Danio rerio: one gene and its partners. The protein of the gene in region 1 purifies or fractionates together with the protein of each later gene. This does not show direct contact. Links are inferred from orthologs where the notes say so. Each region holds a gene or a part of one and is shown in the gene's direction. Other genes may lie near its edges.

Evidence for each region.
Region 2: the proteins of exosc5 (region 1) and c1d purify together in Homo sapiens (affinity purification with mass spectrometry; 4 studies listed by BioGRID and IntAct, counting the BioPlex papers as one, with this or other methods). This does not show direct contact. The link is inferred for Danio rerio from reciprocal best matches to the Homo sapiens genes EXOSC5 and C1D.
Region 3: the proteins of exosc5 (region 1) and mphosph6 purify together in Homo sapiens (affinity purification with mass spectrometry; 6 studies listed by BioGRID and IntAct, with this or other methods). This does not show direct contact. The link is inferred for Danio rerio from reciprocal best matches to the Homo sapiens genes EXOSC5 and MPHOSPH6.
Region 4: the proteins of exosc5 (region 1) and hbs1l purify together in Homo sapiens (affinity purification with mass spectrometry; 3 studies listed by BioGRID and IntAct, with this or other methods). This does not show direct contact. The link is inferred for Danio rerio from reciprocal best matches to the Homo sapiens genes EXOSC5 and HBS1L.
Region 5: the proteins of exosc5 (region 1) and exosc10 purify together in Homo sapiens (co-immunoprecipitation; 8 studies listed by BioGRID and IntAct, with this or other methods). This does not show direct contact. The link is inferred for Danio rerio from reciprocal best matches to the Homo sapiens genes EXOSC5 and EXOSC10.

Annotation. Positions count from the first base shown.
Region 1 is NC_133193.1:38,978,270-38,984,602, reverse strand, and holds the end of exosc5 (exosome complex component RRP46), read left to right. Parts: intron 1-807; coding exon 808-929; intron 930-3,195; coding exon 3,196-3,336; intron 3,337-3,427; coding exon 3,428-3,517; intron 3,518-3,651; coding exon 3,652-3,747; 3' UTR 3,748-3,774; downstream 3,775-6,333. UniProt on the Homo sapiens protein: Non-catalytic component of the RNA exosome complex which has 3'->5' exoribonuclease activity and participates in a multitude of cellular RNA processing and degradation events.
Region 2 is NC_133188.1:5,048,241-5,055,506, forward strand, and holds the start of c1d (nuclear nucleic acid-binding protein C1D), read left to right. Parts: upstream 1-3,290; 5' UTR 3,291-3,811; intron 3,812-3,866; exon of another isoform or gene 3,867-4,094; intron 4,095-4,256; exon of another isoform or gene 4,257-4,343; intron 4,344-4,983; exon of another isoform or gene 4,984-5,356; intron 5,357-5,805; 5' UTR 5,806-5,815; coding exon 5,816-5,953; intron 5,954-6,036; coding exon 6,037-6,103; intron 6,104-6,183; coding exon 6,184-6,239; intron 6,240-7,266. UniProt on the Homo sapiens protein: Plays a role in the recruitment of the RNA exosome complex to pre-rRNA to mediate the 3'-5' end processing of the 5.8S rRNA; this function may include MPHOSPH6.
Region 3 is NC_133200.1:38,540,626-38,547,758, reverse strand, and holds the start of mphosph6 (M-phase phosphoprotein 6), read left to right. Parts: upstream 1-3,166; 5' UTR 3,167-3,259; coding exon 3,260-3,310; intron 3,311-3,939; coding exon 3,940-4,052; exon of another isoform or gene 4,053-5,290; intron 5,291-6,482; exon of another isoform or gene 6,483-6,534; coding exon of another isoform or gene 6,535-6,581; coding exon 6,582-6,672; intron 6,673-7,027; coding exon 7,028-7,133. Other genes in the region: snx20 (sorting nexin-20), read left to right, coding at 1,095-1,763. UniProt on the Homo sapiens protein: RNA-binding protein that associates with the RNA exosome complex. Involved in the 3'-processing of the 7S pre-RNA to the mature 5.8S rRNA and play a role in recruiting the RNA exosome complex to pre-rRNA; this function may include C1D.
Region 4 is NC_133198.1:34,710,604-34,716,333, reverse strand, and holds part of hbs1l (HBS1-like protein), read left to right. Parts: intron 1-2,082; coding exon 2,083-2,173; intron 2,174-2,348; coding exon 2,349-2,457; intron 2,458-2,581; coding exon 2,582-2,682; intron 2,683-4,813; coding exon 4,814-4,958; intron 4,959-5,049; coding exon 5,050-5,061; 3' UTR 5,062-5,730. UniProt on the Homo sapiens protein: GTPase component of the Pelota-HBS1L complex, a complex that recognizes stalled ribosomes and triggers the No-Go Decay (NGD) pathway.
Region 5 is NC_133198.1:16,322,458-16,328,978, forward strand, and holds part of exosc10 (exosome complex component 10), read left to right. Parts: intron 1-1,549; coding exon 1,550-1,660; intron 1,661-1,740; coding exon 1,741-1,884; intron 1,885-3,363; coding exon 3,364-3,554; intron 3,555-5,583; coding exon 5,584-5,740; intron 5,741-6,521. UniProt on the Homo sapiens protein: Catalytic component of the RNA exosome complex which has 3'->5' exoribonuclease activity and participates in a multitude of cellular RNA processing and degradation events.

The DNA of each region.
Region 1 (6,333 bases):
GCTTTTTTTTGTCTTAAAACGTGCCTCTCTTAAAATGTTAGACATTTGAATTTTGAATGGATCCAATCTATATTCAGTTCAATGAATTTAACTGAGTAAAAAGTAGCTTGTACTGTATGCAGATGACTAATATTTTGATATATTGGCATGCATTTCTAAAACATTTCATTGTTTCTTAAGTATGTGAAGTTGTTGGACACATTTCCTTCTGCTTTTTTGAATTGATTTATTCAAAACTGTTGGACTTATTTACAGTATTTAAGGCAAGTATGTTAGAAGTAACTGCAATTAAATTACCCATCCATGAAAAGTAACCTACTACTTTACATTTTCAGTACAAAAGTAATTACAGTAACACGTTACTTTGTAATTAATTACACCTAATATGTCCCAGACCAAACACTAGCCACTTTGTTACTAGTTACTAATTACACCCAATATAACACAGACTAATGCAACATAAATATGAATTGTTTGTCACTTTTTTATTTAATATAATATAAGAAACAATTACCTACATGAGTATAAACTGTTTAAAGGGAGTCTTAAAACTACATGTCAGGAAGAAAATGTTATGCCATAAAAAATGTGTGTCGTTTATGTAAATTGTTTTTATTTAGTCAGTGTTTTATTATTACTAATTATTATTATTATTAATGTTTAATAATACACATATACAGCTCATACTAGAATAGTAAACATAGTTATAATTGCATGGCCTGCACAGCCATGTTTCAGCATTAGGTGTCAGTCTGGTACAGTATTTTTTTAAACTTCCTCATACTGTGGTGCGATGTGTTGTGTTAGGTGTCCGCGAGCGAGCGAGAGAGCAGTGTGTCCGTGAGACTTGTGAAGCTGCCCTTCTGTTGACCCTTCATCCACGCTCTTCTCTCACGGTCATCCTGCAGGTCGTCCACGATGATGGATCTGTATCCTCAACACCAGCAAAACTCTTCTTTATAAATGCAAAATGAAGAGGGGGCAAATATGATGTGTCCGTGGTTTTATTGTTTGAACTTTTTAGTCACTTACCGTTGAAGGGAGGAGTTTGTTTTGAATATTTAGGGTTGAGTATTAAAGATTAGTATGTTTTATTACAATGAATGTATTAAAACGAAAAAAGTGGCAATATAGACTAAACGTACAAAAAAATTGAAGATTTGAATAATTGGCTTCTTTTAATACTCTTCAATTTTATTATGTTTTAACGCTTGTTAGGAATGTTTTCATCCACTCTGGGGTTATTTTGAGTCTTAATTTGGCCACAACTTGTTTCAGCAAGCGGAATGATTTTGGTGACATTTTATTTTGACAAATTTTTGCAATTTAAAAAAAAAAAAAAAAAAAAACCTCAACAATAGACTCAGCAGGGCAAGTTTACTACACTGGTCCTTTTCGTTATGTTAGTGGCTGTTTTTGCCCTATTGATTTCCATTATAATGACATTTTTTTGATTGCAAAGTCATGAAACCATATTGTTATGCATTCTTGATTGGTGGTGGTTTTTCTCTTTTGAGAAGAGGTACAATTAGTAATTTTTACTGTTGGCCATTAGTTGCAGTGTAAAAAAAGCATTAGTTTCTGGCTTTTATATAGAGTATTGTGTGAGTGTAACCAAGTGTAAGAGCACCTTTGCGTACTTACCTTGATATGTCTGAGAAAATTAAAATAAGCATCTCAGCTCTCAAAACATAGCAAACATGGTGTGTTTATGCACCCTTACTATAATTTGCTGTTATGCTTCAATAAACTCCATATAAAAGCTAGAAAAGGTTTTTTTGAACAGACCTATCTAAAGGGTTTATGCTGCCAACACCAGCAAAACAGTTTTTTATAAATGCAAAATGAAGAGGGGGCACAGGTGAGTTGGGTGGGCTAAACTGTCCGTTGTGTATGAGTGTGTGTGGATGTTTCCCAAAGATAGGTTGCAGCTGGAAGGGCATCCGCTGCGTGAAAAAACATGCTGGATAAGTTTGGCGGTTCATTCCGCTGTCGCGATCATGGATTAATAAAGGGACTAAGCCGACAAAAAAATGAATGGATATTACAACAAATGCATTAAATAAAAAAAGGTGGCAATATAGAGTACAAAAGATTGAAGATTTGAATAAATTGGTTTAAAGTTTTAACTATTTCCAAAAATGTCATTAATCAAAAACAGGCACTAATTCTTAGTGCATATATATATATATACACACACACACACACACACACAAATAAATGGTGAATGTGGTGGTTGGTAAGTAATGATAAGGATACTGTATGTACGGTATGTACTTATACATGATTTTAGTATTAAATACCAGTTTTTGTAAAAAAAAATAAATAACAATAAAACAATTATTCAACAATCGGTTTTATATTTTAGTTAAACTACCAAAAAATTTAAAAATGTATTAGTTAATGTTAATGTATATATTTCTTTGTAGCTAACATGCAACTAAATTATCAAAACATAATAAATAAATATTATTTCATTTATTCATTTTCTTTTAAGCTTAGTCCCTTTATTAATCTGGGGTCGCCACAGCGAAATGAACTGCCAACTTATCCAGCATGTGTTTACGCAGCGGATGTCCTTCCAACTGCAAATAAATAAATATGTAAAAGAAAATGGAAATTACGTGATTTACTATTTTACAGAGTATTCTTAAAAATTGTACTACATTACTTTCCTTAAAAACAAATGAGATTTATTACTTTACAGTAATAAGAAACTTTACCCTACACTGTTAATTTGTATTATTATTTTGCACTATTGCTATAAGGTTGGTTGTTTGAGTCCTGGCTGGACCAGTTGGCATTCATGTATGTTGGCATGTTCACCCTGTGTTTGTGTGGGTTTCCTCTGGGTGCTCTGGTTTCCCTCACAGTTCAAAGACATGCGCTAAAGGTGAATTTAATAAACTAAATTGGCCGTAGTGTATGAGTGTGAATGAGTGTGTGTGGGTGTTTTCCAATACTGGGTTACAGCTGGAAGGGCATCTGCTGTGTAAAACATATGCTGAAATGGTTGGTGGTTCATTCCTCTATAGCGACCTCTGAAATAGACACTAAGCTGAAGGAAAATGAATAAAGCAACTTCAGAGACTGACCCCAGATTCTTAGTGTGCATTAATATTGTTTGTTTTCTCTGTCCCGTTTTCTTTCATTCACACTGTGTCCCTACACCATGAGTCCTTATCTAACCGTCAGCTGCTGTCGTGTTGTCTAAACGCTGCCTGTATGGCTCTAATGGATGCCGGGCTGCCCATGAGCCGCCTTTTCTGTAGTGTGACCTGCGCCATTAGCAAAGAGGGCCAGATAATCACTGACCCCACAGCTCGACAGGAAAAGGTACACTTCACTTCCTGTTCCCTTGAGCCGACACGAACCATCCCGAGTAAACTAAACCTTTGATCTGTGTCTTTTTTGCTTTCTTTTCCAGGAAAGTCGAGCGCTGTTAACATTTGCCATTGATAGCAATGAGCGCAATGTTTTGATGTCATCGACTACAGGCTCTTTTTCAGTGCAGGAGGTGAGTGTTTGATTCTCCAGTGTGTGATTCATTGCTCTGTTTGTGTGGATGATACATAGGTACTTGTGTATGTTTCATAACCTGCTGGAATTCTCTGCAAGGCAGTGACATAAATGTGTTTTCTTCCTACACAGCTCCAGCAGTGCATCGCTATCAGTCAGAAGGCCTCGGAGCAAATCTTCCAGTTTTATAGGGATTCTGTCAAGCGGCGATATTCAAAGATGCAATAAAATATGCGTTGGGATTTTTTTTACTCGAGTTTGCAGTGTCTTTTCATGTACTTATATTTTTATTATACACTCAATTATTGTACTTTATTTAAAAAATACATAAAATAATTCTTATACATTAATAATAATCATTTATTAGTGAAAATTAATCATAATTAATTATTTTGTTTGTCTTTAACTTATACAATTGTTTTTTTTTTTCACAAATTATACCAAAAACAAAGAGTTGTGAAATTTAAATTTAAAATCTTTTTTAAATTTTGAAACAAACTAAATAAAAAAAAATGCTCTCAATTTTAAGGTTTATTACAATTAGGAAAAATGACAACATAAAAAGGGAACTCTGATTTGTAAGATTTGTTTATAATTTTTTGCCTTTCACAGTCCTAAGGAAAAAGGTATGACTTCAAAAATTAAAGCATTTTTTGTTTGAATTTTAAGAAAAAAATTATAATAATTGTGGCGTATAAGTCTTGCAATTATTTATTTCCTTATTTTTCAAAATTGTTGATTTATGAACGTTCTTGTCATTCTAACTTTTGTTCACAAAATTAACATGTGTTTTTACATTAAATGTCTCACAGGCTTTTGAACCAGAGTATCCTCTTAAAGAGTCTTAAAATATCTTAAATCTCAAAATCTAAATTTTAGGCCTTAAAACATTTTAAAGGCTCAATCCCAATTCTACTCCTTAGCCCCTTGTCCTATTTCTCTTCAGCTTGAAGATGTAGGGCTAAGGGGAAGGGTTGAATAGCCCTTTGAATGAAGATTTTTCAGGACCACACTCAAAACCAAGGGGTAAGAAAATTTCCCAGAATACACCAGCCAAAATGGCAGTATTGCTGAACCGGGAAGTAAGGAGATCCACAAATTAGTTTTTTTTTCATTATTACGAATTTTTACGACAAACAAACACATTTTAATACTTTCATAACCGCATTCGTGTTTCACAGTTACGCTTAAAAAAAAAAAAGCTAAAAAACCTGCTAAATTTAGCAATCTATAATCCATAATCTTAACTCCTGTACAGCAGTCCCACAACATTCTGACACTCGAATACCCTGTCAGAAAAGTGTAGTGGCTGAGAATGAGCTTTTTACAGTGTCTGCTATGATGTTAATGTTGTTTTCGTGTGTTTACATAGATAAATATGGCCATTTACATAGTTTACATAGATGAATATTACCATCTTATTGCCACATTAGATCGTTATGATGACAATGTATGTGATTTCCTGAAGATAAAAACCCAAAAATAGCACAACTGGAATAACTACAGCAGTCGCGATCATCTGATCTCATAAGAAGCACAGGATCACGATTACATAAAATGACGTGTGCAGGTGCTGTAGTGCTGTCCCAATTCTTAAGGGTAAATTTTGAAGCCCTTCTCCTTAACCCTTGATTGTAAGGGCCAAGGGGAAGGGCTAGGGGTACAAAAATAGAATTGGGATTGGGCCTAAATCTACTGAAATATTGTGTGTAGGTCTTTAATCATAAGGTTTTGTTTTTCTGTGTAGCTACCTATACAATCCCAATCTCAATAAAACTTTAACTTTTTAATTAAAAATAGTAATTATTTTCTTCACAGTAACATTTGTTTAAAAGTTCTTCATTTATTTACTGCTAAAGATAATGACCTGACCTTATTAAGTTATTATTATTGTATTATTAAATGGATTAAACTTTTATTTATATCTAATTTTGCACTTTGATATTTTGTGACTGGTTGATTTTCATTACTAAATGAAGTATTGCATTATTTACAAACAGTTTGTATTTAAGTGTAGTTGGGGTTTTTTATGATCATTCAGAATGAGTTAGTAAAGGATTAAAAAATTATTTAAATCAATGTTTAAATATCTTATTATTCATATTGTAATGATTGGCATTGCAGTGGCGCAGTAGGTAGTGCTGTCGACAAACTGGATGAAGTTGAGTTAATAAAGCATTTGTTAACGTACAAAGTAAGTATTAGTACATACCTAAATAATAAGATTTCTAAATGTTAATTTGAATATTTATCATTTACTAACTCATTCTGAGTGATCTAAAAAACAACCTACGCTTAAATAACTGTTTTGTAAATAATGCAAACTTAATTTAATAATGAAAAATGAATCATTAACAAAGCATGAAAGTACAATTAACAAGCACATTGTAAATGTGGTTGTAAGTCAAGAACACAGCATTTGTAGCTGCACTTATAAAACTGCCTATACATTTATTAATGTAGAGTTAATGCTTAACAGATGAAGAAGTAACTATTTTTTAATTCTTATTAAATGGTTCATAGTGTGTAGTTGGTATAAAGTGTTACCATTGTTTTCAATAAGTATATTTGAATGAAATCTTTAGCATTTAGCCCTGTATAAGTCAAAATTTTTATTTATAATCATTTTAAAAATGTCTTAAATTTAACCTGGTGAAACATGCAGACACCCTGTTGATTACTGAAGTCTTGTAAATTTGGAATTGAAAGGAAGATTTTTTATTTTTAGAAAATAGAAATTTACGTTTTTTGTTTTTTTTTGCGTACCATGGTATTACAGGGTGTTGCGGGGTCTTAAAAAGTCTTAAAATGTTG
Region 2 (7,266 bases), on another chromosome or scaffold:
CATTTGCCAATATGCAAAATACAAAAAGAAATGTGTGAAATGACTTTAACTTGATTTAGTTGATATTGATTTATATATTGTTATTAAGATATTATGTGCTGCATACTGAAGAATGTTGGAAAAAAGCAGCCATTAACATCCATAGTAGGAACAAAAGATTCCATGTAAATGATAAACCATCATACCATAATGATTAAACTGACTCCACAAAATCTGCCGTGTTTTGAACTGTTGTTCCTGCTCAGTTATAATCACTAAAATAAATTCAACATTTCAGATGCGTACATTGCGATATTGATACTGAAACTACAGTTGATTCCTTCTTTATTATTATTCCCCCGTATATATTTATTCCCCAATTTCAAGATTTTTTTTAACACTTCTAAACATAATAGTTTTAATAACTCATTTCTAATAAATGATTTCTTTTATCTTTGCCATGATGACAGTAAATAATATTTTACAAGATATTTTTCAAGATACTAGTATTCAGCTTAAAGTACAATTTAAAGACTTAACTAGGTAAATTAGGCGAGTTAGGGTAATTAGACAAGTCATTACATCAGTATAACGATGTTTGTTCTGTAGCAATTGAAAAAAAATATATTGCTCTTGGGGGCTAATAATTTATTTTTTTACTTTTATTTAAGATTTTTCAATATATTTTTACAGAACAACCCCTTCCCCAACAATTTAACCCCTTACAGATGAGGGGATACATTAAAAACTTAATAATGAAATTATTAATATTATCTGAAATTATATATATATATATATATATATATATATATATATATATATATATATATATATATATATATATATATATATATATATATATATTATGTAAAAACATAAAAAAAATAAAAAAAATAAAATTATATATATATATATATATATATATATATATATATATATATATATATATATATATATATTTATATATATATATATATATTTATATATAATATACATAAAAAATAATACAAATAAATAAATAAATAAATAAATAAAAGGTATTGCAATCATAATTACTTTACAGGGGATACATTTGTAAATCAGTTACATTGTGTTGCATTGTAGTTACCTTAAATTACAGTGATGATAGGTTAAGTAACCTCTAAATATACATATCTAAATATGTCGTAATAATTTTCCACCTCTTTAGAAAAATATCAGTATTCATTAGTAGACATGCAGTCATTTGTTTCCATTATATAGACCTGTTTAAGTCTCTGAATCCACTGAGCCACCTTTGGAGAACTTTCTTCCATCCAATGTACTGTTATCATTTTTTGCAACCAGTAATAATATCCTTAGGACAAATCTTGCTTCTCCATTGAACATTTCTTTGGACAGTGCTCACAGTAAGCACATAACTGGATCGAGGGGTATTTCTATATCTAATATATTATCTATTTCTTTTTTTTTAACATTTTTCCAAATTTCTTCAATCTTAGGACAGTCCCAAAAAATGTGGGTATGATCTTCAATTTTAACAAATCTTAAAATGTTTTTTTTATTTTATTAAAAACTGCTTTTATTCTAGCCGAAATAAACCAAATAATAATAAAAAAATATATGTGAAAAATTAATTGCTCTGTTAAACATAATTTAGGAAATATTAGAAGAAAACTCACACGAGGGCTAATCATTTTTACTTCAACTGTATATATTGTGCAGTCCTAATAAGAAGACAGAACCTAAGAAAACAAAGAAAACACTATAAACTTACTGGACCATTAGCTCCTCTGCTGCTGTGAGAAAAGCATCCGTCTCCTCATGAAGTCAGTCTGACATTATGGAGATGCTGTCGGCTCAGATCCCAATGAAATAAGACGTAAACACTGTGGACTCACAGCACTGAAAGAGACAAGAGAAAACACCTCCAGTGCTTAAATACATTGAATTTCAGAGCGGCAGACAGAAGCACGTGAGTCAGTTATTACACAGCACGCTCTGTTTTTATTCACGTCCTGCTGAAGGAATGCTGGAGTGATGCTGCTGCTCTTTACAACACACTCACATGCTCCTGGACGCTTCTCAGTCACATGAGAACTGACTGACGCTTACCTAGAAGACTGCAGACACTGACAACATACACACTGTGTCACTGAGATCCACGCTTCAATATACAGTAGCTACATATTATTATTATATTAATATGATATAATATACTATAAAATATTTTATATATTACACTTTAATACATTTTCTGTGTTTTGAAAGAACATTTGTGATAAACTGTAATTTCATTCATTCATTTTCCTTCAGCTTCGTCCCTTATTTATCAGGGCTTGCCACAGCGGAATGAACCGCCAACTATTCCGGTATATGTTTTACGCAGCGGATGCCCTTCCAGCCTCAACCTAGTACTGAGAAACACACTCTCACATTCACACACACTCATACACTACGGCCAATTTAGTTTATTTAATTCTCCTATAGCGCATGTGTTTGAACTGTGGGGGAAACCAGAGCATCTGGAGGAAACCCACACTAACACCGGGAGAACATGCAAACTCCACACAGAAATGGCTTAGCTGGGACTCGAACCAGCGACCATCTTGCTGTCAGGCAACAGTGCTAACCAATGAGCCACCATGCCATCCAAACTGTAAATTTATATATATATATATATATATATATATATATATATATATATATATATATATATATATATATATATATATATATATATATATATATATACAAATAAATTTTGTTATAATAATGTATTACACTACATTTTGATTTTATGATAAAACTTTTAATGAACTGTAAATTGTAAATATAACATATAATATAATATAATATAATATAATATAATATAATATAATATAATATAACATAATATAATAAAGTACAATAATAATTTATATATATATATATATATATATATATATATATATATATATATATATATATATATATATATATATATATATATATATTTATTTATTTATTTATTTATTTATTTTTTTTTTTTGGGGTGAAATTTTTTTGTGACCTGTATTTATAACATCCTTATATTTTTATTATTTTTATATATATATATATATATATATATATATATATATATATATATATATATATATATATATATATATATATATATATATATATATATATATATATATATATATTCACAAATAGTTGTGAATGTTTCCAGAATAGAGTTCTTGCAAATTACCTCTTCAGAGATAAAAAGCAAAAAACTTGTTTTAAATATTATTTTTACATGGTTCATATTATAAATGAATGATTTTATTAATAAAACTTGAAATGGCACATGGATTGAGTGTGTTGCATCTTATAAATATTCAGATGTCTGGCTTTAGCGTTAGGATTTTATTTTCTTTTAAAAAACTTTTTTTTTCCTTTGAAACTCGAAAAATGTTTAAAACTATAGAGATTGTTAATTAATGGATTAATGAGTGATGTTCCTGTAAACAAAAAATATATATATTAGGAAATAAAAAATGTAATTAAAAAGTAATTAATTGCTAATTACATCATTGAAAATTTATTTAGATTAGATTTCTATTTAATTTGTCTGAATAATGATGTATACACATAACTTAAATTAACTTATTGAACATTATTTGTATAAAACGCAATGGAGTCATACTTCATAAATACCATGTATTTCTGTCAGTAAATAATGTATTACTTATTGTTTCTTCCGCATGTGAAGTGGTTAAACAAATAAAACTTCCATAATTGATAGTAGAACAACAACAACAACAACAACAAACTCCTGAAAAAAATCTTCTCTGAATTGATTTACAGCACTCAAGGAAAGCACATCGTGAGTAACTTTATTAAATAACCAAAAAAACTATTTTTTTCACGAAATTGGATATGTAATTACAGTTACTAGTTACTTTGTAGTGTTTTGCGCTTGTCGTCAGAGAAAGAGAAAGGAAGTAACTTATAGGAGAGTGTGTTTTTTTATGTGTGACAAAATCTGTACAACCAAGAAAACAAATGTGACTCAACGTTTAGCTACAGTATTACAGTATGTATTAATAACAATAATAATACACGTAACTTACAGCTGTTAAACGGCTTTAACGACAGTATCACTACAGGTAACGTAGAAGTCTCGTGTTTATACGATATCGCTATCAGCTGACTGTACATGACTTTTATAAATGTATATCAAGTTATTCATTCAAACCTGACAGAAAAGACTGAACTGTAATAACAGCGTAACGACAACTTTAACTGAATATTCACGTAGGTATACTCACCAATAATTTATTTTTAGCTAAATTCATCTTGTAGAAGCTCCTCAGATAAACAATAACAGTAGGGAGGATGACCGTTTTGAGAAGTACACAACAACACATTAGTGTACTGGACTCTTGCCAAACATGAATAGCACTACTTCAAATTAAAAGTCTCGTGACACGTTAAAAGGCATGTAAGCAAAGCAGGGGATTTCTCAAAGCACCTGAAAATCAATAAAGAAAAAAAGGCTCAGTAAGTGAATTAAAAAGGAAAAAAATATATATAATATATTATATATATATATATATATATAACAACGTACTAATTTTAACTAGATAGATAGATAGATAGATAGATAGATAGATAGATAGATAGATAGATAGATAGATAGATAGATAGATAGATTAGATTTTCAGACTTATCTTTAATGAAAGTTAAATTGAATAACTTTTGTTAATAACTAAATCTACCATGCATTAAACTGTATATTTGTATGTAATCTGATATGTACCCTCTCCTCCTTTTTAGTTAATATTTTTATTTATTTAAATGTTTTCTTTTCTCTTTTAATCCTTCTTGTTAACGAATGTGAAATGATTTTGTTGCACAATGAAAATAACAAAAAACTGTGCAAGTTTAAACTGACCCCCAGTCCGTTAGGTGGCGATAATGCTAGTCGCCATTAAAGATAAAGAAAAATAAATGTTTTTCGCGTGACTTTTATTTTGAAAAACAAGTGTATTGACCGTCGCTTATTTATTCTTGGCTCAACGGAGAGGTATTGATGTGTGCTTGATTACATTATAGCTCTCTTAAACAACCTAAACGAACTTCATATGTAATTTTACGTTGATTTTGTGTTTAGTAAGCTGTCTCAGGGTTTTCTTTACAACACAGGACAACAAGTGTGCGATTATAACTCGCAGACACTGAACACGTGCATAAAGCTTAATCTCCATATTGTCGCTCATGCTGAATTTGCACAGTTGTTAGAAATATATATGTATTGTACTTCTTATTAATTTGGTAACTTACTGCTTTTTAATATGTATCTGCTGTCCACAACTGAATTCTGAAGCATTTTCCCTCGTTTTCCTAACAGCCAAATATCGATTTTTAGGTAAAGTTGGGGTTATATTCGCACATTAGTTCATTTTTAACAGTCTCTACATAGTTCGCCATGTTACTTTAAATATTCGGTCTGAAATCTCATTTAAGTATGACTTCAAGTTCAAAACAACATTTGCACGATTTAACTTGGTGAACAATGTTGTATTTTGAGAGTCATTGGCTGATAATGTGATCTCCCTATTTAGAAATAGCAAATAATATTTTTCTGAAAATATATTATTAAGAAGAAAGTCTGAATGTGTGAATAAAAAAACAACTTTACCTCAATAATATTGACTACAAATCCCCAAAAATAACAAAACGGTTTAATTTAGCAGTTATGCTTAGATCCGTCATTTCAAAACGCATATTAATTACTGTTTTTTTAGGCCAAAGTTTGCAGGAATCATGAATTATCTTAAATGGTTTTTATTAATATATTCTTATGTTACCATTCAGCTGACAGACCATGGCTGATGATGCTGCAGTAGAGGATTATCCCACTGAAATCGAAGACAACCTGAATGATTTCGACTCTTCTTTGAGCTCTGTCCAGAATATGGTCCAGACACTGGTGTCTGTATCCAGAAGTGACCGTCTGCTTAAAGTATGTATAAAATGTTTATATGAAAAGCTGATAAATGAAAATGGCTTAACTATCATGTTTAACCTGTTTTTTACTTCATAAAGTTGGATCCTCTTGAACAAGCTAAACTGGATCTGATGTCGGCATACGCCCTCAACTCAATGTTCTGGAGTAAGGTTCTACACCCTCTTTTATTTGTCTTGTAAAATTGAGGTTAGCATGATATGACAAGTTTCACTTTTTCTTTCTAGTGTATCTTGTGACACAAGGAGTCAATCCGAAAGACCATCCAATCAAACAAGAACTGGTAAGAGAATACTGTCGGTTTACTTCAAACGTTTTTTTTCTGTGACAATGTCAGACTACAATCTCAAAGTCTATGGCGCATAACTCAAATGTAAAGTGGAACTCTATTTAAAAAAATTAGAGTTTTTAATTTTTAAATTAGTGGCTTAGTGGTTAACATTGTCGCCTCACAGCAAGTAAGTCGCTGGTTCGAGTCCCGGCTGGACCAGTTGGCATTTCTGTGTGGAGTTTGTATGTTCTCCCTGTGTTGGCGTGGGTTTTCTCTGGGTGCTCTGGTTTCTCCGAGTCCAAACACATGCAAACTTTTTACGTACAGATATAGTAAAGATCCAGGTTCCCTCTCATCAAATATTTATTACATCACAGATTTATACGTTTACATATTATACATGTATTTAAACATTTATTATTATATACGTTAGCTCCCTTATATCGCTTAACGGTTTAAAACCAAGAGCATACGCTATGATAAAGGTACATTTCGCACAAATGTAAACAGCCTTTCCTAAACCATGCTAACGTATGGACAGTCACCCACATTCGTAAATATAAACGCAATTTTTGTGGAAAAACGTATATCCTTTATTACGTTTAGAGTGTGGAGCGATAGATGTCGGTCCACGAGACAATAAACAGCCGCTGTAAATGGTAAATGTTGGCAAAGTTTTCAAAGAGGTAGTGAAAACTGTAGCGCATCTGACTCTATTGCTCCTGCCGGAAGTAAGGATACGCAACTATCGCCCAACCGGATGTGCGTGCTACCGTCCGTGAAAAAGGCCTATAGGTAAATCGAATAAACTAAATTGGTCGTAGTGTATGAGTGTGTTGGTGAATGTGTGAGTGTATGTGTGCTTCCCAGAACTGGGTTGCGGCTGGAACGGCATCCACTGCGTAAAACATATGGCGGAATAGTTGGTGGTTCATTCCGCTGTGGTGACCCCTGATGAATAAAGGAAGTAAGCCAAAGGAAAATGGATGGATGTAATGCATTAAGGCTACAATAAGCAAGATATTTTACTACAAATGTA
Region 3 (7,133 bases), on another chromosome or scaffold:
TCATCCTGATACACGGCACCACCTACAGGATATAATGTTTGATGCATTGGTGCACATGGTCCTCCAGAAGTGAAGTTTATTCATAAACTAATTGAGAGGATCTTGTGCTTATTATTGATCACAGCTGGTCCTGCATTAGCCAATTCATAACACACCAATCAGACCATTCCTAAGCACCATAAATAACCTAATGTCCATACAACAGCCATCTTCAATTTGAAGAATCCCCCCTTCCACCCCTACTCCTCCTCCATCCTAAATAGGCGGCACGGCGGCCCAGTGGTTAGCACTGTTGCCTCACAGCAAGAATGTCACTGGTTCTAGTCCTAACCAAGCCAGTTGATGTGTCTGTGCGGAGTTTGCATGCTCTCCCTGTCCTTGCTCGGGTTCCCCCCGGGTTCCAACGTTTCCTTCCACCACCAAAAAACTTACGACTTGAGTTAATTGCCAAATCCAAATCAGCATCATAGACATGCTCCTAGTAAGTAGTTATCTCTTAAGAGCACTCACTATCTGTTCATGAGCTACTACAGCAGGGGAGTTCTCCACATCTACCTGAGCTCAAACTCTCCTCTCGCCCTGCAAAAGGGACAGAGCCCCAGGCTCGAGGATCTTATGAAATCAGCGATCTCTCCTGGGACAGCAAGCTGTCGGGGGAGCTGCCCTCTCTGTTCTGCCGCCCTAGACGTGGATATAAGTGAGGGCGCGGGTGGTGAGGGTAGTGTCGCGGACGCCGCCCTAGAAGCAGATATAAGTGACGCCCTCTGTATTCTGCCGCCCTAGGCGGCTGCCTAGGTCGCCTCTATGGACGCGTCAGCAATGTTTCACATTGTCAACAGCCCAAGATTTTCGCTGCTGGCACCACTGAAACTGACGTTTGGCATTGGCACAAGTGACCAAAGGTTTATCTATAGCAGCTGGCTATGTATGCTGACTCTGTGGAGCTCCAGACCAACAGTTTTGGTGGAAACAGGAGAGTTGAGCTGCACATTTAGTTCTGCAGGGTTGGGCAGCTGTGCTCTGATGTTTTTTGTTTTTCTACATTTCAGTCTGGGTAAAAATTCATCGTCTCTTTTTCCAAATGTGTCCTGCAGGTGTACCAGGTTGTGGTTATTCGCTCGGGTAGTTACGACTGTGAGCGCGTGGCTATCGAGCGCCGCTATTCAGACTTCCTCCACCTCCATCAGGAGCTCCTGTCCGACTTCAGCGAGGAACTTGAGGACGTTGTGTTTCCCAAAAAGAAGATGACCCGAAACTTCTCTGAGGAGATCATCGCTGAGCGTCGCGTAGCTCTGAGAGACTATCTGACCCAGCTCTACTCCCTCCGCTTTGTCAGGAAATCCCAAGCGTTTCAATCCTTCTTCACTCATCAGGAACTGAAATCTGCATATGATCTCCTGAGGGGGGGACGCTTCTCCCGGGCCCTCGAGGGCCTCCAGAAGGTGTTGGTGCTTCAGGAGAAACTCTCCTCTCATGATGCTACGTTAGTGATTCCGACATTGTGCGCCATATTGGTTTGCCAAAGGGATCTAGAGGACTTCGAGGCTGCCTTCGAAACTGGCAGAAAAGCTTTGCCCACAGTGAGGAGATATGAGCTGCGAAAGCATCACGGGCCCCTGCTGGAGGCTCTGGTTGATTTGGGGTTCAGTCTGGAGCTGCCGGTGGCTCAGCTACAGGACGAGCTGATCAGAGTTAATGACTCTCCATGTGGGAAAGAGACACAGATGTCTCTTAAAGAACTGGTGGTGCAAGAGTTTGTATGATTTTTTTGTGTGACTAAAATGATTATGAGGCGAGTTTCACTGCATTTATTTAATTATTTTGTTGTCAAAATGTACACAAATCTAAATTCTTTAATAACTTACCTCGAGAACCATTGATTTCTTGAATTTATGTAAAGGAAACACTGAAAGAAACACCAAGAAACTTGACTTTACCTTCAATCATTGACTTTTCGGCTTAGTCCTTTTATTAATCAGGGGTCACCACAGCTGAATGAACCGCCAACTTATCAAGCATATATTTTACGCAGTGGATGCCCTTCCAGCTGCAACCCAACACTGGAAAACATTCATACACACTCTTTCACACTTATACACTGCAGCCAATTTAGCTTACCCAATTCCCCAATTCCTGCATGTTTGGAGTGTGGGGTAAACCGGAGCACCCACAGGAAACACACGCCAACACGGGGAGAACATGCAAACTCCACACAGAAACGCCAACTGACCCGGGACTCGAACCAACGACCTTCTTGCTGTGAGGCTACCCAATCATCATATGCTGAGATTCAAATGAACCTTGAAATATTGTTTGATTGTACTCAACTGAGTGTTAGCTAAAACGTTAAATAAAAGTGGTAATTATGACGCTTGAATATACAGTATACACCATATAATTACCACATTTGTATTTCAAGCTAATTAAATTGCACTGCAAAGTGTTTTAAAGCACACAGTTGAATTTAAAAACGTGAAATAAATATAAAACAGTGCTTTAGTTCAGCTAAAGTAATACAAATGTGCTTAAAGGGGCCTTAAAATATATAATATTATAATATATATTAAATTATTTTAGAACAAACATATATTAACCCAATATTTGACTATAATGTGGTGAAAATAACTGTTAGTTACGCTATTACACGACAATAAATATGAATAAAACAACTTAATGCTATAACTAATGTCTGTATTTACAAAAATCCTCAGTAAGAAAATAAATAGCAACTTTTAAGTCGTTTACAGTTGTTATTTGCCAGTAATGAACTGTAACAAGCGAAGTTTGTACACAGTAAAGTAAAAACTCACCTCAGTAATGACTCCTTTCAGTGATTGAAGACGAACTGGCGTGTTTAATTAGGTAAATTTAACCATACAGGAAAGGGTTAATGCGCCACTTCAGACGAAAGCAATAAATTGTCGATACATTCGACAAAATTGTATATAGCAAATCAAATTAAAGTAAACGATACCATATAATACAGACTAACATTAACTTAAACGCTTTATTATGCGATTATACTTCAAACATAAGTAATAAATCTGAAATTATTGTCAGTGGATGTGTGTTGTGCGACTCGTCGAGTCTTGCACATGTTGCTAGAGCGCATGCGCAGAGTTCATGCGGACTGCTATTTATTTTAGCAGCTCGTGCTACGCACAGTAATGCTGCCAGTGTGGAAGACATAACTGTCAGAAAAGCTCGCTTTATCTCTCTTCATTCACTTAAAAACGTGTAGTGTTAGTTCTGATTTGAAATGGCGAACGATGGTGGAGCGAAGCTGTCTAAAAACCTCCTGCGGATGAAGGTAAATAATGTTAGCCGACTCTCCCAGTGTCGGAGGAATATGATGAGCTCGTGATTGGGATCGTACTAAAATGTCCTCGTGTTTGAGGTCGGTTTTGTTTTGATATGAACTGAATGCTGTAGATCACTCGCTGCAGAACACGTGACTGATAGACAACAGTCTGTCTCTGTGTGTGTCTGTTCATCTGTGTCTCTGTCCATTATTTTATCCGCCATATTGTATATCCCATTCGTTCTGTCCATTTTTTTCATCCCTCTGTCTTTATACTTGTCTGTCTTACCATCTGCCTTGTTGTCTTACTTTTCATGTTTGTTTACCTCGTCCTTTGGTCTTTCAATAAATCTCTATTTCCATCTTATTTTTTTTATCTGTCTCTCTTTCTGTCCATCTTTTCTTCCATCTGTCTTGTCATTTGGTCTGTTCTTGTCTTTCTGTCTGCCCATCATTTTTATCTACCTCCATGTGTCATTTTATGTCAACGTCTTTCTTCTGTTTATCTGTCTGTCTATCTTTTAATCTGTTTTTCATCTGTCTGATAATCTGTTTTTGTCTGCGTCCATCTGCTTGTCATTTGGTGTCTGCATCTTTTTTCCATCTGTCTGTCCATCTTCTCATCTGTCTGTCTGTAGTTCATGCAGAGAGGATTGGATGCGGAGGTGAAGAAGCAGCTGGATGAGGAGGAGAAGCGGATCATCAGTGATGAACACTGGTTTCTGGATCTGCCCGAGCTCAAGGCCAAAGAGTGAGACTTCAACAACTGTTTTTTTTACTCTTATCACGGTGCTTGTACACCCAATGAATGAAATAGTGTATGACAACAAATATCTGTGGAAACCCATTTCTGGTGCATAAAAAAGCCTCAATCAAAAACATCAAACCAATACCTAATTATACTAATACTCAATTAAAGGGGCAGTTCACACTGAAATTAAAATTGTCATCATTTACTGCACTTTGATTTATTCCAAATCAAAACAATTTATATTTCTTTCAGCACAAAATAAGATATTTAGAATAAAGCTGAAAACCTGTAACCAGGAAAAACAAATACTATGAAAGTCAATAGTTACCAGTTTGCAACACGCTTTAAAACATTTTCTTTAGTGCAGTTAAAAATTATTTAATCCCAAAGGTTTAGAATATTGACCAAAAGCAAGCAAACAAATAAATAAAATTCAGACATTTCCAATATGTTATATCTAGATCAATGGATCCAAAACCACCAGTAGGTGGCGACAAATACCTGACTGATTCAATAGTGTTTCTTCCCATACTGATAAACTTCCGGTGAACAGTTAATGTGACTTATTTCTAAGGGTGTCACGATCCTAAAGATTCTAAAGGCACGATTCGATTTTCGATTATGAATGATTAATTAATGACCAATTAATTATTTGTAGCCTACCGTTTAAACTACCTGACCTGCATGGTCTTTGTTTTACCCATAAACAAATCATACAGTAAATGAATAAAGGCAAGATGCACACATAATTACCTCCTGTCAATCACTTTTTCTGCGGGACTCGTGAATAGGCAGTGATCTGTGTCATTATAATGGCGTCTGTAAAAAAGACGCACAACCAACAGGAACCAGCCAACAGTGTCTGAGGTGTTCGCTAAAATGACAAAGTACAAGTGAGTGAAAGATTGAAGCAGTCCTCTGACTGCCTGGACCTGCTGTCTCGAGCGCATGGCTGTGTGTGCATCTGTGTCTGTGTGGTCACGTGATGTGCGTTTTCAGAGGTAATGAGGAAGGAGGGCTGCTCAGAAATGCTACACGCCACTGTGGATGTCAAATCGTTGTTGTTCTAAAATGCCATTTAAAAACAAAGACAGTGTAAACAGGGCCTGAGTGTGAACTTTTCGCGAGCGGATTTGCAACGGGGGCGGGCGGAGGATCGCGATGCTGGTGTTGTCTATCGGACGAACCATACGTAATACGTATATAGCAGAGCTTGCAAAACTGTGTTTTTTTTTTTTGTCGACAACACGAACGTTGTCAACATAACTCACTGGAAATCCAAAATGCTTAAACACCGGCGACTTCATTGAAAGAGGAGAGGGTTTAAGCTCTGTCGACGGGTCTCCTGCTTCTGCAGTTTAACAAGCACTTCAACAAGCCTGTTTTTTTCCCGCTTGGCAAGCCAAGCTGACGTGACATCGGGGCGTGGCAGCATCGACGATTCTATTTTGTAATTCGATAATCGAAATTGAGCATAAATTTCGATCGATTTCGATTAAGAATCGAAATCGTGACACCCCTACTTATTTCCATTCCTTTTACAGCATCTATGTTGTACTGCAAATAAAATACAATCAGTTAAATAGACCCAAGCATTTATTTAGTTGATCAAGCGCAAAACGAGATCAAAAGTTGTTTACTCGCACACGTCAGAATCAGCAGGCTAGCGCAGAAGCTCCATTTAACATACTGGGGTAAAATAAATGCTCATATTATAAAGACACGACGGGGGAAATGTAAATTAATGTAGTGTTTCTTGTACAATCTGAGACCCGCTTATATCGTATATCAATTAGGCATTGAAGATGGTTGATTTTTAAAGAAAACAGGCCTTTTTGTAACTGCATACAGTAGGACTGTGCGATAAATCGAATCACAATTTGAAATGTTGCGATTAGCTTATCACAAGAGGCTGCGATATGACATAGATTTGTATTTAATTTCCCACGCCCCGAGCAAATGCATGACTGCAGTCTGCGTGTGACAAGTCTTACAAGCCAATTAAGTGTGCACGCTTTCATCCTGCCCAATCAGAATTGCACTGCCGGATTATGGGGAACGCCCACAATAAAACAAACAAACAGATGAGTGGGATGATGGCGTCTTCCGCATTAATAGACTAAATATTATTAAAGAAAAAAACGCACGTCAGTGATATGGGAATATTTTGTTCACAGACACCAAACAAAAAAAGGTTATTTGTAAGAGCTGCCGCAGGATTGTTGCAGGCATGAGGAAATACAACCAGTACCTAAAATGTCTACAATATTAAATTGCAAATCAAATCTAAATATCTGTTAAAAAAATTTTGCAATTAAGATATTTTCCCCAAATTGCACAGCCCTAGCATACAGCGTTTGAACCAGGACACTTTAAAATGAAAGTCCTAATGCATGTACCCCATTAAAAATGATTCTAGTTCTAATGCAGTCTGACATTAGCAAATATTCGTTGCCTTATGGATATCTGATGGTTTATCAAAATGTCTCTTAAATTGACAAAATTACAAGGTATTTTTAACTTTGCCAGAAACCACATCATCGAGGAGAGAAGTTTCGTTCCCTGTGAGGATCTGGTTTACGGCAGAATGTCATTCAAAGGCTTCAATCCTGACGTGGAGGTACAGCTTTCATCCGTTTACAGCCGTTTGCTTCCGTTTTGTTAACTGTTCTCAATTATTGTGTTCACGTTATTGGAGCATAATCTGAAGAATAAGCTAAAGGCACAATATGTATGATTTTATTTGTATTAACATATTCAAAAGCCACTTGAACAGTTTATTATATCTTTATTTTTCACTCAGTCATCAAAACACACCTTTGTTTGTTGTGAATACACGCCCTCTAGTGGCTAAATTTACATACTGTGCCTTTAACAATGAGCTGAAAATGCACGTCTTGCTCTAATTATAGCCACTGATAGCCACCTGTAATCTAAAGTGGGGTTTATTCATCACAAGTCTGAATCTGTTGCAGAAATTAATGTTACTAATGAACGCACCAAGAGAGGAAGAGGATGAAGAAGAGGAGGACGAGAGCATGAACAAAATGGAAACCGATATTACGGATGAAGAGATGGCCA
Region 4 (5,730 bases), on another chromosome or scaffold:
AAAAACCAGTCTGAGATGATGGTAAGATGGGTACATACTGTGGTCATAAAGGGATGGACATGGTCAGCAACAATATTCACTGGCTATGGCGTTGACCCAAAGTGGTTATTTGAGTTACTGTTGGCTGTCTATCAGCTGGAACCAGTCTGGCCATTCTCCTCTGACCTCTGGCATCAACAAGGCATTTGCTCCCACAGAACTGCAGCTTATTGAATATTTTCTCTTTTTTAGATGATTTTCTGTAAACCCTAGAGATGGTTGTGCTTGAAAATCCCAGTAGATCAGCAGTTTCTGAAAAACTCAGACCAGCCCGTCTGGCAACAACAATCATGCTACATTCAAAATCATTTGCTGCCATGTGATTGACTGATTAAAAATTTGCATTAACGAGCAGTTGGAAGTGGCCGGTGAGTGTATATGGCCAGTGTACATGTTTATCTGTTTAATGCACTGAATAACTTAATAAAAAATATTTTTTTTTTAATTTAGCACACTGATTTTTGCTAATTGAAAACAGATACATATTATTAAACATCTCTGTGGAACAATATAGTAACACATGGCACATGGGTAACTGATTGTAATAATTAATATATATGTTAATTAATATATGTTAGTAAAATATGTGCTATAAAATAAATATTCAAAAATAAGATTTGTATTAAAATATTTATATATATTTTACAATTTTATTTTTATAATTTAACGTGAATTAAATAAATGCTTTTTATATTAATATTTGTAATGGTGTAATAGTTAAACTCACACACATTATACAGTTGAAGTCAGAATTATTAGCCCCTCTTTGAATTTTTTTTTCTTTTTTAAATATTTCCCAAATGATGCTTAACAAAGCACGGAAATTTTTACTGTATGTCTGATAATATTTTTTCTTCTGGAGAAAGTCTTATTAGTTTTATTTTTGCTAGAATAAAAGCTGTTTTTTATTTTTTTAAAACATTTTTGGGACAAAATTATTAGCCCCTTTAGGCTATATTTTTTTTCTCAATAGTCTACAGAACAAACCACCATTATACAATAACTTGCCTAATTACCCTAACCTGCCTAGTTAACCTGATTAACCTTGTTAAGCCTTTAAATGTCACTTTAAGCTGTATAGAAGTGTCTTGAAAAATATCTAGTAAAATATTATTTACTGTCATCATGGCAAAGATAAAATTAATCAGTTATTAGAAATGATTTATTAAAACTATTATGTTTAGAAATGTGTTGAAAAAAATCTCTCCATTAAACAGAAATTGGGGGAAAAAATAATCAATCAAATATCATCATAAAAAAATTATTGTAAAAAAGAGTTATTAGTTACTGAAATCTAGTTGAGACAGATTCGCAATAATGACTGAATCTTTTAACAAATTTTGTTACTCGCTTTTTTCTTTTTATTTCTCTCCTACTAAGATTGCAAAACTAACGTTATGACACAGTCTTTATAAACTTTAGGACTAAATAAAAAGTCATTGCAGTAGTTTTTATATTGCTTAGTTTTGTTGTTCTGGAAATTGAGGAAATATACTGTGTAGTTAATCATGAATAATCAATACTTAAAAAAATACTTAAATCGATACATATTAAATTTAAGAATTTAACATATTAATTTCAACTAGATTCTCTTGGAATCTTAAAACCAGAATAATAAACTGGTAACACTTTATAATAAGCTTATTAAGGTGTTTTTGTTTGTGCAATTAAACAAACAATATGCAATACATTACATTTCTTACATTCATCTTTGTTGATGTTAGTTAATGAAAATAAAGCTGTTTTTTGTTAAGCTGTTTGTTAGAACTCATGTTAAGAAGTGTGCATTTGGAATTAATAATGCATTGTTGATTAATAAATGCTCTGTGTTGTTCAGTGTTAGTTCATGTTAGTAAATACTTCACATTAGTTAATGAAACCTTAATGCAAAATTTAAATAAGTGTTTATTGAGCACCAGATTAAAAAAATATAAATATGATTTATGATGGATTTTGTAACGCTAAAGGCTAGAGTGGTGCTACACTCATTTTTGGTTATTTTTTTTTATTAATGCAATCTTAATGGATTGTAATTCTATCTAGGGATCAGTCTTCATGATGAAGCATTAGACTGGGCAGCGGCTGGTGATCATGTCAGTCTGACTGTAACAGGCATGGACATCATCAAAATAAAGTGAGTGTGTGTAGAAACACTAGCGTCGAAAGCAATCCCTTCCTTAACGTATATTATAACAGTTCGGTTATATAATGTTTTGATTATGTAATGTTGCGTAATACATGATTAAAAACTTTCTACGGACACGGTTGATTCTGTGTAATCATGTATGTTTTCTTGCTTCTTTCTCTAGTGTTGGATGTGTATTCTGTGATCCCAAAGAGCCCATTAGAGCCTGCACGCGATTCAGAGCAAGAATCCTCCTCTTTAATATTGAACTTCCCATCACTCAAGGCTTCCCCGTGAGAAAACATTTCATCTCTCAGGCTTTTTAGATATAAATATCTTTGCATGTTTCTTGTGGGTTCTTGTGCAAGTGTGTTTGCTAATATTTGTGTATTTGGTGTGTGTGTGTCTGATTGGCAGGTCCTGTTGCATTATCAGACTGTAAGTGAACCGGCCACCATTAGGAAGTTAGTCAGTGTATTACACAAGAGCAGTGGAGAAGTTCTCAAGAAAAAACCAAAGTAAGTGGACGGATGATTCTAGAATCTAAAATGTTACATGATTTTAAGGAACAGTTTCTTTTTAAAGGGTTTTTAACAGCGCAGAAAAATGACATTGTGCATATGTATATCATATTGTGGAGAAGCCAACGCTACATATGTATTTTTTTTTGTATCATGCCGCTTGGTTTTTCCATGCATGCCTTTTGCAGCAGAAAGTTGTGACTTGTGGCCAAGAATGGTTAACTATACTCAGAATTTGAACACACAAACGCCTGGGAAGTAGTTGAGGATTCTGTGCATTGCTCAAGGGAATCACCTCAACCATGGGATTAAGGGTGGTGAGATTGCTGGGTATTTACTCCCAGCACCTTCAGTCTTCACAATTAATAAGCTTTCTATCAAAGGGGGCTTTCGTGTGATAACCACATACATTTAAGCCATTGTTTGTTGAAATACCTTTTTTTCCCGCAGTACCTTTAAAATCGCATTTACACTTCCACGTTACATAACAATGAAAATGTAAAACGTTTCAAAACAAAAACAAAAAAACACATCAGACAAATTTTGGACAAATCAGGTAGTGCAGCAACTTCAGAGCACTTGTGCAAGCTGCTCATACATCATATTCACAATGCAATTATTCTGCATGGGTATAGTAAGGAAGTTTAACAATGGACCCTTTTCACATTTCCGGGTTTCTCAGTAGCAGAATTTGTCATAGTTGGGTAAACTTAAGGTGCATTGAATGGGAGAGTACAGCAAACATATATTTTTTTACAATCCTATTTGCTGAAATAACAAAATAAAAAACTCAACAATGGTGTTATCAAGACTTTCAGAAAACGGAAATAAAATCGGTGAGACCTAAAATGTCAAATTTACTCTCCTGCCCCATTCACTCTGCATAACAAACGCCTCACACAAGTGGTAATTTGTTTTCTGTAATTTGATTCAAAGATGATATAATACATATAAATCTACATACTTTTCTTTTTAATTAAATATTAAAACTTTAGAGGATTTTAGATGCTAATGACGGTTAAATGCATCATAACAGTCTTGTGAAAAAGGGTCCATAATTACAAATTACAGTTATATTATTTAGGGCTTATCTTTTTAAAATGTATCCCATGATTTAGTGGTGTAATGGATCACAAATCTCACTGTTCGCATTAGATCATTTATCATTCACGTTGCGTGGATTTGAATTAAAATCACGATCTTTTAAATTTAATAGTGCAGCTTAAACTGAATGCATTAATGCAGGCTAAAGAAGTGTCAGAAAACACCTTTAATTAATAACCTAAGAAAGCATTTAGGTAGGTCCCACCACAACTTTTTCAGTCATCATTATATTTTACAGGGATGCCATTGTTTTCATACACGTAATTTGAATGACGCTGGGGGCGATCGCTCTGCCATAGTTATAAATGTTGGATCAACTTACAAAAAAATTAAAAATGTTAATGCTCAGGTCACGTATGTTTCGAACTTTGTGTCAACCTTAATTCGTTACAGCCCTACCATGATTTAATTTCTTCAAACAAAATGCATGTTTCTAGTTTACTTTCTATGAACCTTCCTGTTATCAGTTGAAAGCAGATAGGTTCATCTTGTTTAAACTTTATCTTTTGAGGTGCAGTTTTTGGTGCATTAGCAACATCAGGACTGCACTTTTCTGTCTCTTGAGTGTGAAATGTATGCACAGTTAAAATGAATGCTGAAGCACCTTGAAGAGAGTCAGACTATATACAGTATTGTCCTGCTGGTGGCACTAATGCACCAAAAAAAATTATGGAATAATTAACATTTTTGAATGAACTAACCCTTTAACTGGCATCACGGTGGTGCAGTGGGTGGCCTCACAGCAAGAAGGTTGCTGCTTCGAGCCCCATGTTTGCGTGGGTTTTCCCCACAGTCCAAAGACATGCACTATAGGTGAATTGGGGAAGCTGTCCCTAGTGTATGTGTGTGAATGAAAGTGTACGGGTGTTTCCCAGTGATGGGTTGCAGCTGGAAGGGCATCCACTGTGTAAAACATATGCTGGATGAGTTGGTTGATCATTCCGCTGTGGCACACCTTGATTAATAAAGGGACTAAGCTGAAAAGAAAATGAATGAATGAACTAACCCTTTAACTGTCGTGCAGGTGTTTGAGTAAAGGACAGAATGCAGTGGTGGAGATTCAGACACAGAGACCTGTGGCTATGGAGCTTTATAAGGACTATAAAGAACTGGGGCGGTTCATGCTGAGATACGTGGGCTCCACCATCGCTGCAGGAGTGGTCACAGAGGTAAAACTAAAACACCAAATTGTTAAAAGCGTACTTGATTGTACATCGTAAGATGTGATGCTTGTTAATGCCAATGTTTGTATTGTTCTAGATCAAAGAGTAAGAGCCTGTTGGAACTGGATCCTTCAGATTGTACTGACAGAAACCATCAGACTGAAGTGCAATTTCTCCCTCAAAACGTACACAAACATGAAGTGAATACACAAAGATGCCCAGCAGGCAAGCTAACAGTGAATCTAGCCTCAGCTCACGTTACATTTCACAGGCCTCGGGAGGGGAGAGTGAATGTTGGTGTTTGTTTTCTTGTAGTCATTTTTGTCTTGTTTTCAGTACAAATAAAAAAAGCATTCTTAAATCATTATGCAGTTGTTTGAGAGGCAAATTATTAAAGTTCTGAAAGATCTGTCACAATTTTGTTTGTTAAAAACATCTGCCACTAAAATCTAAATAATAAACAAGGGATTTTTCTGATCAACCCCACGTTAATATTTCCTTTGTTTTTGAAGCTTAAAGTAATTTTATTTTGTTACGTTTTAAAAAAATAAACATTACTCTCAATAAATATATCTTGATTTAAGTATGTTTAGATGTTTGTACTGGCAAACAAGACTAAAAAAAAATGAAAAAGAAAATATCTTTTGATAAGTGTAAGGGAGAGAATGCTCTTTGTCTTCCTCCTCATCTTTGCAATAACAACTATAGTAATTAATCCCAAAATTCGGAATTATTTACATTCAAACCCATTTAACAACATATAAAACCACAATGTTTA
Region 5 (6,521 bases), on another chromosome or scaffold:
TGTTTTTGTCTATTTTTAGTCCAAATATCTAAAAAGTCTTAAAATTAAGAAGCATTTTCTAGACAAACAGAACATATATTATATCATTTTTAAGAAATATTATGCCAAAATCAAGTGAGTTTTCCTTAAAACCAGGCAAATGAATCCACCAATGGCGTAAGCTAAATCATTTTGTTTTTGCTTTGAAATAATATTTTTTTCTGCTACCCATATAGGCAGATTATTTTGCTTGTTATAAGGAACAGTTCACTTAATTTTGGCATATTATGTCTTAAAGGAGTGGTCCAGAGTGTAATTTAAGCCTTGGTTGTGTTCATAAGATGCAAAGCAATGTGTGCTCATGTTTCCTTTGTAGATAATCACATAATTTTTTTTCGTGTATCTTACTTAAAATATATACTGCTACTCTGCTAACATGAAAACGACTATCATATTAATAGTTTCTCCACAAGAGGCTCTGATTGGTCATCTTACATAATGTGCTGTGTAAATGCTGTCAGTCAGTGTAGCTGTAAGCCATATCAGACAGGAGGATACAGCTGAACCCCATCCCTGCTCCAAAATAAAACCTGAAAACTGTCTTTCATATATATATTCAGATTATGTGAATGTTTAAGTAATATGAAATGTTCACATATCTCGTGAGATGTAGTATGCACGGAAAGCGGCCGCATAGAGAGACCCTGCAGCGCAGCTGAAGTTTGTGGGTGTTTACAGCGGTTTGATGGATAAATATGAATTTGTAGCTAAATTGTTAGTAGTGCCAATCAGCATTTTCCGTAGTTTACATCCTTGTTTATGTTATTGCTACATTGTACTGTTTACGCTAGAAACTGTGCATGTAATAGATTAATTTTAACAAATAAAAACACAGGTTTTGGCTCAGTCCATAGCTTTTGCTATTATGGCTGGAGCTGTTTCTTTAAGGAGTTTTAAGCCGAATCCATCACTGAACTGGGAGAGATTCTTGAAGCTGTCCTTTGTCAAATGCTAGCTATATATTTTTTATGATTCTCTGGAACATGATTAAAATTAAACTGTAAGCACTTCTCTCTTTGTGTCATGTCATTTAGAAGCCTAAACACAGAAACAGAACAAGCTTTGCGGAAATAACAGTGTTTGGACAGCATTTTAGCTTTCTCCGCTATAACATTACAACACCTCTGGCCATGCCCCTTCACTGCACGGGGTGTGTGTAACCTAAAGGGTTTAAGATCTCATTAAACCAGAAGTATTTTTTGTAATCCCCAAACTTTGTTTGCTGTAGACTTTGCTAAGCTAACTCTGTAAAAGCCAATGTCTTTCTTTATATTGAACTTTGAGCATATTACATTTAGGGATGTTGTTTATGCTCACACAGTTACATTACACATCAACTAAAGTTTAAAATATTATATTGTAGTAGACCATCCCTTTAAAGCAAGACAATATGTTTTACTTGTCTTGAAAATGCTTCTTGGTTTAATCGTTTTTAGATATTTGAACTAGAAACAAGGCAAAAAAGCATTTTTGTTTGCAGTGAAATAATTGTGTTTTCTTTGTGTTTTAGATGTATAAACCTATTGACGAAACCCCTTGTCAGTTTATCAGTACTTTAGAAGACCTCGTTGCTTTGAATGAGAAATTGGCCAAGACCACTGAGTTCGCTGTGGATCTGGAGGTATGGGAAATTTCTATGATGCTGTTTAGTCTTCTGGATTACTTGTTCTTTTTTAATTTGCCCAAATTCTTTGTCCACAGCATCATTCCTACAGAAGCTTTCTGGGAATCACATGTTTGATGCAGATTTCCACACGAGAGGAGGATTTCATCATAGACACGCTAGAGCTACGCAGCGAGATGTACATCTTAAACGAGACTTTCACAGACCCTGCTATTGTGAAGGTGATGGACTTATAATATTACGCTTTTCTTTTTAAAGTTACTATAAGATCTGTACATGTTGATGACAGTTTTCATTAAAAGTTTTTTGTTCATTAATAACTTTCAGGATTTACTAAAGACATGCAGTTAAAGATCAGGAATTACAAGCAATAGACAATTTTTTTGGTGACCATATGCATTGTGTTTTTTAAGTCAGTTTTTTTTTTCAGCCAGAATATGGAAAGAGAGCATTCAAATGAATGATGAAGCAGTTTATTAAAGGCATAGCTCATCTAAAACTAAAAATTCTGCCATCATTTACTTGCACGCTTCACTTGTGACACCTGTTTTAGTTTTTTCTTCTGCTGAACACAAGTTGATATTTTAAAAATGTTGGAAACCTTTAACCATTGACTTCCACAGTTTAGTTTTTTGGTGCTATTTATTTTCTTCTTTCCTTTTATGTCCACTTAATTGTGATGTTAGGAGTTGCGCATATGGATCCATTACCAAGCCACATTACTTTTATATATGCTAGTCTTAGTAGATTGATGTTCATTGTGGAAAAGAGCTGCCACATCTATTAGTACTGGACACATAACAACACCGCTATATCCATGGAACACGAAATTGCAGACTCTTTGAACGAGGAAATAATTCACAGCCCAGACGGCCTGTTAATTTAATATTAGCTGGAACACCTGAAGGATGGTTACAGCGTGTTGCAATGTCAGCTGTCCAAAAGTCTACTTTAGAAAGTCAACTTTTTCTTTAATTTTTTGGACTTGTTTGAAAGCTTTTCGAAGTGGCAGTGTAGTTGTTTACATTGCATTAGCAAGGCAGCTACTGATGGGATTTGTGTAATGTTTCAAAAAGCTTTGTTGCAGTGGAAAATGAAATCGTATTCGTGCTGTCTGGCCCGGTTTGGCACGGAATGGAACAGTTCAGCATAAAAAACAATTCAGAATGATAGTGGAAAAGTTGCTTTTGTTTAGAATAATTGCATCGATCGGTGTGCACTCACTTAATATAACACACTCACAGCAATACTGTAATACCAATTGGTAAGTGTGATCGCAAGTAATATTGACTTTATCTAACAGTTCATTTCATGCTCAACATTGTCAATTTTTCTGTGTAGCTAATGAAAATGTTTCCAAAAGACCCTGGAGCTAAATATTTGGGTGCCTCAGAGCAACACCACATTGTTTGTCATATTCCTCAATGATTAATTTTGAACAAATTATCTGAGTCCATGATCACTCAGTAAGCCCGAGATTTGTTGCAACCTATTGGCAATTGAAGTATCATTTATTTAACACATTCGATGAATCATAATTTAATTATAAAAAAAAAATATCAAGATAATACTTTTGCCAGTATTCCACACAAACACCTATGCCGGTGCTCTTTAATTTCCGCATTGTGAGTGTCCATCCACTTTCATTCTCCTTAGTATAATAAATGTGTCACTATATTGTGAATACCTTGTTTCTGCAGGTGTTTCATGGGGCCGACTCTGATATTGAGTGGCTGCAGAAGGACTTTGGGCTTTATGTGGTCAACATGTTTGACACTCATCATGCTGCACGCTGTCTTAACCTCGGCCGCAACTCTCTTGATCATCTCCTGAAAGTATACTGTGACGTGAGCTCTGATAAACGCTACCAGCTGGCAGACTGGAGGATACGGTACATGCAACTCATTATGATCAGCACGATACACTTCCTATTTTATTTTTGCAAGTAATTTATGCGAAACTAAGTTTACGCCGTTTCTGTTTGTTTGATGTAAAAAAAAAAAAAAAAAAAAAAAAAAACTTTTAGATTGCATAAGTTTTTGCATTTAGGTATGGCAAATGAAATAGTCAACAAATCAAGAAAATAATTCTTAAAAATCTATTCGTATCTTCTCTAATTTGTAAATGGGGATTTGTTTGGATGCCAAAATGTGTCAGATGCCAAAACAACCTTTATAAAAAATGATTTCCACTTGGAATTATGATATTCTATCTTAAAGCATTAATTGATACATAATTTGATATTTGCAAATGTTACAATAATTAAGATATTTTTGTGTGGACATAAAAGGATTGTTGTAACAGTATATCAACATATTAAATAAATTAGCACTACATTTAACTTTGCATGTTTTATGACTATTTTTAACATTGTTTAAGTTCAGTTTAAAAAGACAGTGCTAAATATTTTGTCCAGTGAAGATGTTTTTTTTAGTAGACATATGGTGGGTTATTAAACACTTTATGAAACTGTTAATATAATTTTCCTGTGATACTGTAATATTTCTCTAGAGGTCAGTATAGCTAAAATAATGTGCTAACATTTATAGTTCTTATTAAGACCCCATTAATTCAACTGGGTAGAGTTGCACCAGCTGTTCAAAAAATCTTTCTTAAACTGGAACGTAAAGTCCACACTAGGGGCTTAGTAACTACTAGCTAGTTTGCAACTAAATTTTTTCTTACTTTGGTTGCACCACTTGTTCTCAAGGTAAACCGTAGTTAGGTCATTTGCTCTCTGTAAAGTCATGCGTAGTCGCATTGAATGACGTAATATCCAATAGAAAGCATTTAAATCGTTAAACTGCATAATTCGGCAACTAATGCATCTATATAGAACTTTTCTATGAAAATGAAATGACATTACATTTTTATAGTAAATTACAGTCAGTCATTAATAACAGGTTATGCATATACCTGAATGCACGCGAAATACACATGAAGTTTTTTATATTCTTCACATGAAAGAGAAAAGAGCAGGAAGAATGACTCGGTCATGAGGTTTTTGTTTCAACTGATGGATACAACAAACACAAAAGACTCCTTAAAAGAAAATTAAACTCTTCTTTCACAAACAAAAAAAAAGTGTGAGATTTGGGAAGAAATGAAGGCTGTGAGTAGAGGGAGGTCATTCTGCATTATCATCGCGAGCTCCTCTATGTAAACTAATATCGTCTCTTTTCTACTGTTAAACAAGGGGGAGGCTGCTGTAAATATTTAGTTGAAACGTAGCGCTATGTTTAAAGTAAGTTCAGTAGTGCAACACACAAATATTTAGTAGTGCATAAATTGTAACTTGGTGTCCCTTTAAGTCACAAATAGGCTACGTTTTAACTTGCGCATTGCTGGTGCAACAGGCCCCTGACTGTTTTACAGCTAAGTCTTAATATTGTTGAGTTAAAAACGACAAGAAAGTTAATTACATTTTTAATCGAAATTGATAATTTTTATATAGTCAGCAGCTCTGTTTTTGCTAGTAATGGAAAATGCAACTTTGTTTCTATTAAATCTTAATGGCACAAAATGCCTTTAAATCTTATTAATAGACTATTATTTTCAAAGAGTAAGATGTTTATGAGCTGCATTTAAAATTGTAGATAATCTCCACAAAGCTGAGTGCTTAATTTCTGCATCTTTTGGTTCAAAAAAAGCACTTTTCATTGTTTTCAAGCTCACTATAGTTCTCTCCACTGGCTAATTTCAATTTTAAACACACACTAAAAGTAATAGCAATCATTTTGGCCTTTAGATAACCCTGTTTGGTGGTCCTTTTATGTGCATTCAGAGTGCTGATAGGCTCATGAAAATAACCTTAGTCAAGTTAGAGTTTGATTTTTGTACAGAGGTACATGTTGTTTTTTTTAAATAAAAATTTGAACACCACATAATGACAGAATTAAGTGTATGTATTATGCCTGTAGGCCGTTGCCAGATGAGATGTTGAAGTATGCTCAGGCTGACACTCACTACCTGCTGTACGTGTATGATCGGGTCAGAGCAGATCTGTTTGATGGGGGCAACGGGCAGGCCACCCTCATTCAGCAGGTCTGGACTAAAAGCAGAGACCTTTCGCTCAAGGTATGGACACATTTCAACATAAACTTAAAGTGCCTCGTTATGCTTTTCCTGGTATTACTCTTCAAGTAATGTTCATTTAAATTAAAAATCAAATAAAGTGTTTTTAGTGTAAACATTTGTCATTTCTATTCATTTATTTTGTATTCTCCTAATAAAATAGTAAGCTATGTAATATGTTTGAACTGTTAATATTCAGCTTTCCACATAAATAACACGTATAACATCACATCCATCCATCCAAAATAACAAATCAAAATAACAAAAGTCATAATGAAGGACATAATGTAACATGCGAGGATGTAATGTTTTTTTATATATTAATATTGACATGAAATTGCCACCAGTTGCTGATATGGCAATAAAGAAACAAATTTAAACTTTATGTAAAGTTCAGAGTCATATGTGCAGAAATAGCTAATTACAAAAGCTAAATAATCATAGATTATGGTCGGTAAGTGGTCAACAAATCTCAACAGACTGGCTCATTTAACCAATCAGAGCAGGAAACACTATGAGAAAGGCAGGGTGTAACAAGAACGGACCTATGAGGCTATTATTCCAGACACTGTGAGATAAGAGTCAATGCTTTTCTGACATTATGAGAATTTTTTTTTTTTTTTTTTTACTTAGAATTAAAGCCATTAAATAAGATTAATAAAAGTAGTATTTCTAAAATGGCATAATAAAGGCTCTTTAAATACACCAAATAAACCCCATTTCAAATATTCTCTATTAAACACTTTGAATCGGTTCAGATGAATCTGTTCAAAGATACAGGTTC